2 linked regions of the Coturnix japonica genome follow. The protein of the gene in region 2 purifies or fractionates together with the protein of the main gene of each other region. This does not show direct contact. Links are inferred from orthologs where the notes say so. Each region holds a gene or a part of one and is shown on either strand. Other genes may lie near its edges.

The links.
Region 1: the proteins of JAZF1 (region 2) and NR2C2 purify together in Homo sapiens (affinity purification with mass spectrometry; 4 studies listed by BioGRID and IntAct, with this or other methods). This does not show direct contact. The link is inferred for Coturnix japonica from reciprocal best matches to the Homo sapiens genes JAZF1 and NR2C2.

The regions. Positions count from the first base shown.
Region 1 is NC_029527.1:17,099,515-17,103,713, forward strand, and holds the start of NR2C2 (nuclear receptor subfamily 2 group C member 2), read right to left. Parts: upstream 2,802-4,199; 5' UTR 2,689-2,801; exon of another isoform or gene 2,281-2,688; intron 2,128-2,280; exon of another isoform or gene 1,920-2,127; intron 1-1,919. UniProt on the Homo sapiens protein: Orphan nuclear receptor that can act as a repressor or activator of transcription.
Region 2 is NC_029517.1:30,231,966-30,235,528, forward strand, and holds part of JAZF1 (juxtaposed with another zinc finger protein 1), read right to left. Parts: intron 1,347-3,563; coding exon 1,150-1,346; intron 1-1,149. UniProt on the Homo sapiens protein: Acts as a transcriptional corepressor of orphan nuclear receptor NR2C2. Inhibits expression of the gluconeogenesis enzyme PCK2 through inhibition of NR2C2 activity.

The DNA of each region.
Region 1 (4,199 bases), on a different chromosome or scaffold from region 2:
GGATACGTGAGTGTATATACATGTATACATGCAATATGTGCATACAGGAAATACAGTATTCAAAAAGCAAGCTGAATTCTGCTATTAGAGGCAGTTATTCTTTTACTTTATAAAGTTTATCATACAAGTTTTTTACTCTGTTATTTAAGCAGCAAGAATAAGATGCTAATTTTATAAAACAGAAAGAACTGATTTAAGCATCAATTATTAGTGCAATCTGTGGAATTCACAGATCTTGTAAGTGCTCTCCTGAACTCAAGGGATGGGAAACTTCAGATAAACTGCTCCTGATTATGCCCTGGACAAGGAAACAGCAATTTGCAATCAGTGTTTCAGTAAACTTCTATTGAGTCATTCCAACAAACTGCCATGATCACCCATACAGTAATCTACCACAGTACAGGTAAAGTTCTAGATTACATCTAGAAACCATTTTGGATAACAGAAAATACATTTTAATTATAATGCGGTAGTACAGTCAGTCTGACATGAGAGTACTACAGAACTGCTTTATACTGTTGTGGGTATCTGTACCTTGAGCTTTATGCAGAAGAAAAAAGAACAAATATTTTCTGTATCTTATTAATGATTCTCATAAGGGCTGTGTTTCCTCAAAGTTAAATTTTACTAAGGTTTCAAATTCCTGCACTGACTTTCTTCTTACAAAGTCAGAAATCATAAGACCACCCAGGTGTAGGTAATGAAACTGCATTCCTGAATAGCAGCATATTTGACGTTTCACTGACAGCCTTCTGCTGATACTTGCAAAGCAATCATTCCACATAAAGTTAAAAAGGAAAAACAAACATAGCAAACCACCTACTAACAACACTTAACAGAAAAATACATTCGTGTCTCCAGCACAACACCCTCCCTCCAAACTCAACTTTTACAAAGCTAGTGCTGTTTAAAATGTTACAGTTCATTCATAGTTAAATCCTACTGTGGTAAACTAGTTGTGTAAATGATCATATATATCAGTGGAAGACATTTTCTTAAAGTCCATTAAAAAAACCAAAAACCATGACATGCTCATGTTTTCTCAGCACTTTAGGATGAAGGAAGCATTGAAAATGAGATTTTGTTCCTAAGAACACCTCTTTAAGACTCAATCAAGTTTTCCTGTGGTAAGTCACTTAACAAACTTGTTGTGAGTTGTTATCCACCAAAATCCTTTACTCTTTCAACAGAAAGCAACACAAAAAGCAGATTCTGCTGCCTAGCAAAACCCCTCAAAAAGAAAAAGAGAGGGAAAAAAAAGTATCCAAGTCAACCAACAAAAAAGGCAGAACACAAAAACAGGAAAAAAAAGGAAAAAAATGACCTGGAGCACCAGGAAAACAATCCCAACACAACAGGACAGCAGCCAACTGAACACACGTTCATCTCCTGTCCTGTAACAAAGAACTCCTCACACTCTGTTCAGTGTTTTATGGGAACAGTCCTACAAGTTTGACACAAAGCAAAGCCGAGTTCAGCTGTACTGAAACCTCCTCCTACTGATCAGTGGGGCTGCTTTCTGCACACTGCGTACCGACCAGCAGCAGCTCAGCATCGCCCCAGCGGGAGCCTGGAGTACAGAACGGGAAACAGGGGTCGGCAAGAGCGGCTCTGCTGAGGACCCGCGTTACGCTACGAGCGGTGGTAAGAAGGCAGCAGAAACTCTTACAACGAAAAAGAACAAAGTCAACGACCCGCACAGGAGCAGCCCCAGCACCTCCAGAAAGACACCCAGACCGGGACAGCCGCCCCACCACCCACTAGCAGCGCTGCTCGCGGCCCATCCCCTTTCCCCCGCAGCCCATCACGGAGCTTCCCTGGGGACGCGGCGCCCGCGGCCACGCTCCTCCTTCCCGCCGCCCACCACAGCCAATGACCTCATCGGAGATGCGGCACACCCACCCGCGCTGCCCATTGGCCACGAGGGCCGCCTGTCACACCGCCGGCACCGCCCCTCGAGGACGGAGGAAAACACCCGAGGGACGCGAGCGCGCACAAGATGGCCGCGCTGGCAGGCAGCCAAGTCCCAGGCGGGGCAGCGGCCGCCTCCGCCATTAGCCCCCCTCCCCTCTGGTATCCCCTCATGTCGAGCTGGGGGTACCGCGCGCGACGCTGGGGTGGCAGCCGGTAAGATGGCGGCGGCCTCAGCCCCGTATGCAAAGTACCCACCGCCCCCTCCCCTCCGCCCTCCCGGTGGCAAAGGTAAAAGGGTCGGGTTCACGCCGCCGCCTCCGCCCGCTCAGACTCCATCTTCCCTCTCTGTCCGCGTCCCGCGCTCAGCATCTCCACGACCGCGGTCCCGGCGGCCCCCAGACGGCGGACGGCTCTCACCGAGACCGGACCGGCTCCGGCCTCACGAGGCCCGTATCCCAGCACGGCGTCTTCGTACCGGGATACCGTACCGGATCATCCCAGCGCCACGACGATCTGCCCCTCTCTTCGGGAGCCACGGGCCGGGCCTGCGGCACCGCCGGCTGCCTCTGCGCAGCGACGGACGGTGTTCCAGTGCCCCCACGTCCCCAGAACCGAGCGTTACCTTTCCCCTTTGCCGCTCGCGGAGGTGTTCCCGAACGGGATTCCGATGCCCCCTCCCTAGTCCCCGCCGCGACGAAGAAGCCGAGACGGCCGTCTCCATCTCAGAAAAAAAAAAAAAAAAAAAAAAAAAAAAAAAGACAAAACGATTTTTACCTCAGGAATTGACGCCAAACGTGGCCCGGCGGCGCCCCTGACCCGGGCCCGGGCGGGCCGGCGTTGGTGGCGGTGCCCAAAGGCGGCCCAAACCCCCCCTACGAGGGGCGGTGGCAGTGGGAGCTTAACGGGGTCCACGGAGGGATACAGGGGGTGGAACTGTGTTATGGGGCGGGGGGAGCGTGTGCGCGTGTGGGGGAGGGAAAGGGGTTCTGTGTTGTTTTTCAGGGCCTTGTGAAAGGTCAGAGTTCGTGACCCCGACCGCCGCCACCGACCGAGTGCGTCCCGACGCTTCCTCTTCCCGGCACCATGCCGCCCTCGGGCCCCTCCATCCCATCGCGGGGCGGGGCCGAGGATGGCGGCGGGGAGGGGCGGGGCTACCTGAGCCCCTGCGAGCCAGCGCTCCGCCGAGCAGAGCCAGGCCGCAGCCCGCGCGGTGGCGGCAGGACGAGCAGACCCAGCACCTGCGCGGCAGGTGGCGCTCGTCCCTGGGAGTGCCGGTGCGTTGTACTGAGGTGCTAAGTCACAAAAGGTTTGGTACTTTAAGGCTACTTTTACATAGTGTTGAGTTTTTGTTTGATTTTATCTGGTTGTTCTCACTGATTAGGGCTCGCCTAGTGGAACTAGGCCGTGAAGATTGTTCCACTTCGGAATGTATGACTGCAGGTGTTGTCTGGCATCTTTGCTGTAAACAGCTGAGGTGCTTTAGGAGTTCACTGCTGTTAGGGGCTTGTCATCTCTGTGGTCACTGAACGTGAACTCGTGGGCCCAGCTCTGTCATGTTTGTAGCATTTTTTAAACCTATGCTCATCACAATTACCTAGCTTAGTTTTAGTACTTCTAGTAAGTTTATTTCTTGTTAAGGAATGGTCAGACAGCGAAGCTGGAAGATGAGAAATGATAATAATTCTTGAATGTAAGAATGTGGATTCCTCCAAAAGAAGACGTTTCAAAACATATTTGCATACATTTTTCTTCATAAAATATAAAGTGTAGATGCTTTTTTTTTTTCTTTTTTTTTTTCTTTTTTTTTTCTTCTTTTTTTCCTTTCCAGGAGTGTGAGGGAAATCGTAGAATGGCCTGGGTTGAAAAGGCTCAGAGTGGTCATCCAGTTTCAACCCACCTGCTGTGTGCAGGGTCACCAACCGCCAGACCAGGCTGCCCAGAGCCACATCCAGCCTGGCCTTGAATGCCTGCATGGGGCATCCACAGCCTCCTTGGGCAACCTGTTCCACTGTGTCACCACCCTCTGGGTGGACAAACTTCCTCCTAAGATCCAACCTAAACCTCCACTGTCTCATTTTAAGACCATTCCCCCTTGCCCTATCACTATCCACCCTCATAAACAGCTGTTTCCCTCCTGAATATACATCTATGAACTTTTCAGTGTCCTGCAGTGTTGCTTAGGTATTTTTATTTTTTTAGGTATTTGCCATTCAGCTGTTCTCTGGTGATTATGTGAGCATGAGAGCAAAGAAATTTAGTTTAAAATGGCAGAAGCACAGAGAGGG
Region 2 (3,563 bases):
ATGCAGAAAGTGGAAGCTGGCTATTATTTATAACCTGGCAAGCAGGACTCAGTTAACTTAGAAATTCACTTAGCCAAAACAAACTGTTTCTCCTAACTGCAGGTAAAACAACATTCTGAATAACTTTAAAAGACTGAAAGTTTATATAAATAACAAAACCAGAATTATTTTAGTATAAATTCTCTTTAGTGTTTAATGGAGTGTATTTCAAACAGCAGATAGCCGGTGGTCCTGAAAGGCATTCAGAGTTGTGCTACCTGACCACATCATGAATTAGCCCACTCAGTAGAAGTTGAACAAAACACAACAAATGGAAGGAGAAATTCCTTGACATCTGTATCCAAAGTGGAGATGATTAAAAACAAATTTACTTGTTAAATTTTCTGTATTACATTCAGACTTTGTTGTTTAGCTATAACTCAACATGCTTCCCTTTTACATATCCAGGGACACACTGAACAAACCGTTCATTTCAGAACTTAGAGAGTGAAACATGGACCACTACACCTTTATCATTCAATAGTTAATACCAAAATGTTAAATAGCTTACACAAAATACATGGCAAGGCAATTTATCAAAGCAGGCATACTAATGCTATTTCTTACTAAGAGGAATACGTTGATTCTGTTTATTACAAAACTGCATAGATTGTGGCAGACCAACAAAAAACCACTATCTGTGGTACATCTGAAATTGTCCCAAACACCTTCAAGATAAGAGTATTGCCATGACAATGAAATTTAACTTGAAGTGTATCGCTACTGTCTGAAACAAGATCCCTAGCTAATGTAAACCAGAATGACTTCAGTCAAGAGATCTGGCTCAACATAGCAAGCAACTTCCAGTTTCTTCAAGCAGTGAAAAAAACTTCCCAGGATTTTTATACCTGGGACAATCTGGATAACTTGGTTATCGACAAAATGTGCTGACTTTTCAGCCTGCTGGCTGACTTCAATCAAAACTGTAAAAGATACTAATACATAACTCATGGAAACTGCTACACTGAGCAGATAGAGTACATTAATACCTCCGTCAGAGAGAAGATAATAGAGTGTTCAGAGCTTAGCTGTTCTCTAAATAAATATTCTCAAAAGCCACACAGAAAAAATGCAAGCTGATTTGGGTATAAGCAAACAGTATATGCTTACCTGTTGGAGTACTGCTACGAAACGAAGAGGAAGGAGTGATTGGAGGGGTGACGGGAGGAGTAAGGCTTCCACTGCTGTGGCGAGGTGGAGTAGATACATTCCCACGGGACACTGTGCTTGACAAAGTCAAAGAGAGTTTCGGCTGAATCTTCTTCTTTAAAGACTCCTGCTCACGTCGAGCAGCATCAGTCATAAACCTAGAAAAAGGGCAATCATGAGGATGAGAGACTTCAACAGCTGCCAGAGTGAAAGCTTTAGGTAATACGCTCACTGACCAACTGGAGCTTCAAAATCAGCCATGACTTCTCCAGTAGAATTCTAATCCTTATTTGCTCTCCCTTCCACTGAACAAGGAGCCATCTTGAAAGATTCATAAAAAGACAGCCCAAAGAAAATCATCTTTTATTCTGCATGGTCCTCTACTGTTATTCCAAGGCATAAACTATGTCTGCCAGTAAATAATATAATAACACGTGATACAGAATGTTTAAGTTACATAGAATCATTAAGGTTGGAAAAGACCTCTGAGATTATGTAGTCCAACCATCAACCCATACCCACCATGCTAACTAATACATGTCCTTCATGCCACATCTACACTCTCAAAGGTTTCTCTGATTTCAGAGGAAGCCAGATTTTAGCCAAGATCCCAGGTTTAAATGATGAACTTACAACCTTGGCAAATTGTGATGGGCGTATTCAGATAAGTGAGAACTTCTTTGCTGACTATATGCTGCAGTTGCCCTGGAGCCAGCTGTCACCTAGAAACTCCTATTTGTGATTCCGCAAGGAAACAGAATGACAAAAATTACCAGCAATTATTTGTATTGGACTAAGTAAGGGCAACCTGGCTATCTTTCAATAGTCACACCAAATGGCTTGTTGTGTGAGGTGACGTCCCACTAGTTTAGAAGACATAAAAGCAGCCCCAAAACCAGCACAGAGCTGGGAGATAGATGTACAGTTAGCAACAGACTTGAGAAAAGGGATCACAGCAGTCAGCGTATGAAGAAGCAGACTGCTGGCTGGTTGGACAAAGTGATTCTGCAGATCGCAGTATTGTAATGATTGCACATAAAACACCCAAAACTAGTAGTGCACAGGTGAGGAGCAATGATGCCAGGGCCAAAGACCCACCTTGGGTCTCACAGCAATACACAATATACCACACAATCTACAACACAGTGCTACAAGAAAGTCTCATTTCTTCTGCGAACTCAAACAACAGTTTCAATTAATGTTAATCAGTGTATTCATGGAAACCCAACATTCTGTGACTGCTCACAGCACCTGCTGCTTATGAGTGCATGCATATTAGATAGTATTTACAGAGAGAGCTCTAAAAAACCCAGCTCTTGTGGAATGGTGAAATGTAAGGAACTAGAGGGGAACTAATAAATAAAAGAAGAAAAAAAGGGGCTTTTAGACCTGTATGTCAAATATGAAAGAAAATATTGGCCTGTACCTCCAGCTTGTTTGAAAAAGCAATCGAGGTATTGTAACACAGCAGCACAAAAACTCAAGTATCCTTAGAATAATAAAGATGCATCCCGTCCAACCATACCATGAGGGCATTAAAAGTGGATCTCTGCCATGATATGTACCATCAACACACAATCTGCAGACATTAATAAATAGGTATATGACACGACAGCTTATCTTCTTTGTAACAGAGTCAATGCATCATGTCAAACACAGATATGGCATTTTTATTAAGTTAATATTTAAAAAGAAGATATCCATAGTAACAGTTCAGTTTTAAATTTCTTTTCTCGCAAAAGGGTAGAGATATTATTAGCAAAACAGTCCCCAAACAGGATTCTAAATTTCATTAAAGGGAAAAAAAGAAAAGCAATAATAAAATGGCCTTTCAGTACACATTTACTTTCTGTTCACCAGGAAACATCTAATTCACTGTGTTTGGAACCTGTAGTATGATGTGTGCTTGCTTCTGGATGGGAAGCCTTATTCCTTATGAAAATGTTATGGCAACATTATAAATCCTTGAGAACTTGGATGATAACCTCAAGCGTGAGACGTTAAAAAGCACCAGCATGAATGCTGTTATTTAATGAACTCAGCCATGAATAACAATGTTAAAATAATATTGGGGTATAATTAGTCTGGTTGAGGTCCATAAAAATCAGGAAAATGTGAAACTTCTCCCTGTCCTGTTAACTCACTCCCATTTGGGCTAAGCATGTCGGGTATGTTCCAAAATGTCATTTGTTGTCTACACTGAAACTTGAGAGAGATGGAAGGCAGAGTGTGTTGAAAAGTTCAGTTCCTGATATGTGAAGTATGAAATTAACCTTTTCAGATCCAAATAATCTCCTATATGTTTGCCGAAGCACTGTCAGTACTAAGCTTTCAAAAAGAAATCTTGTTTAAATAGATCAAATAAAACATTTTTC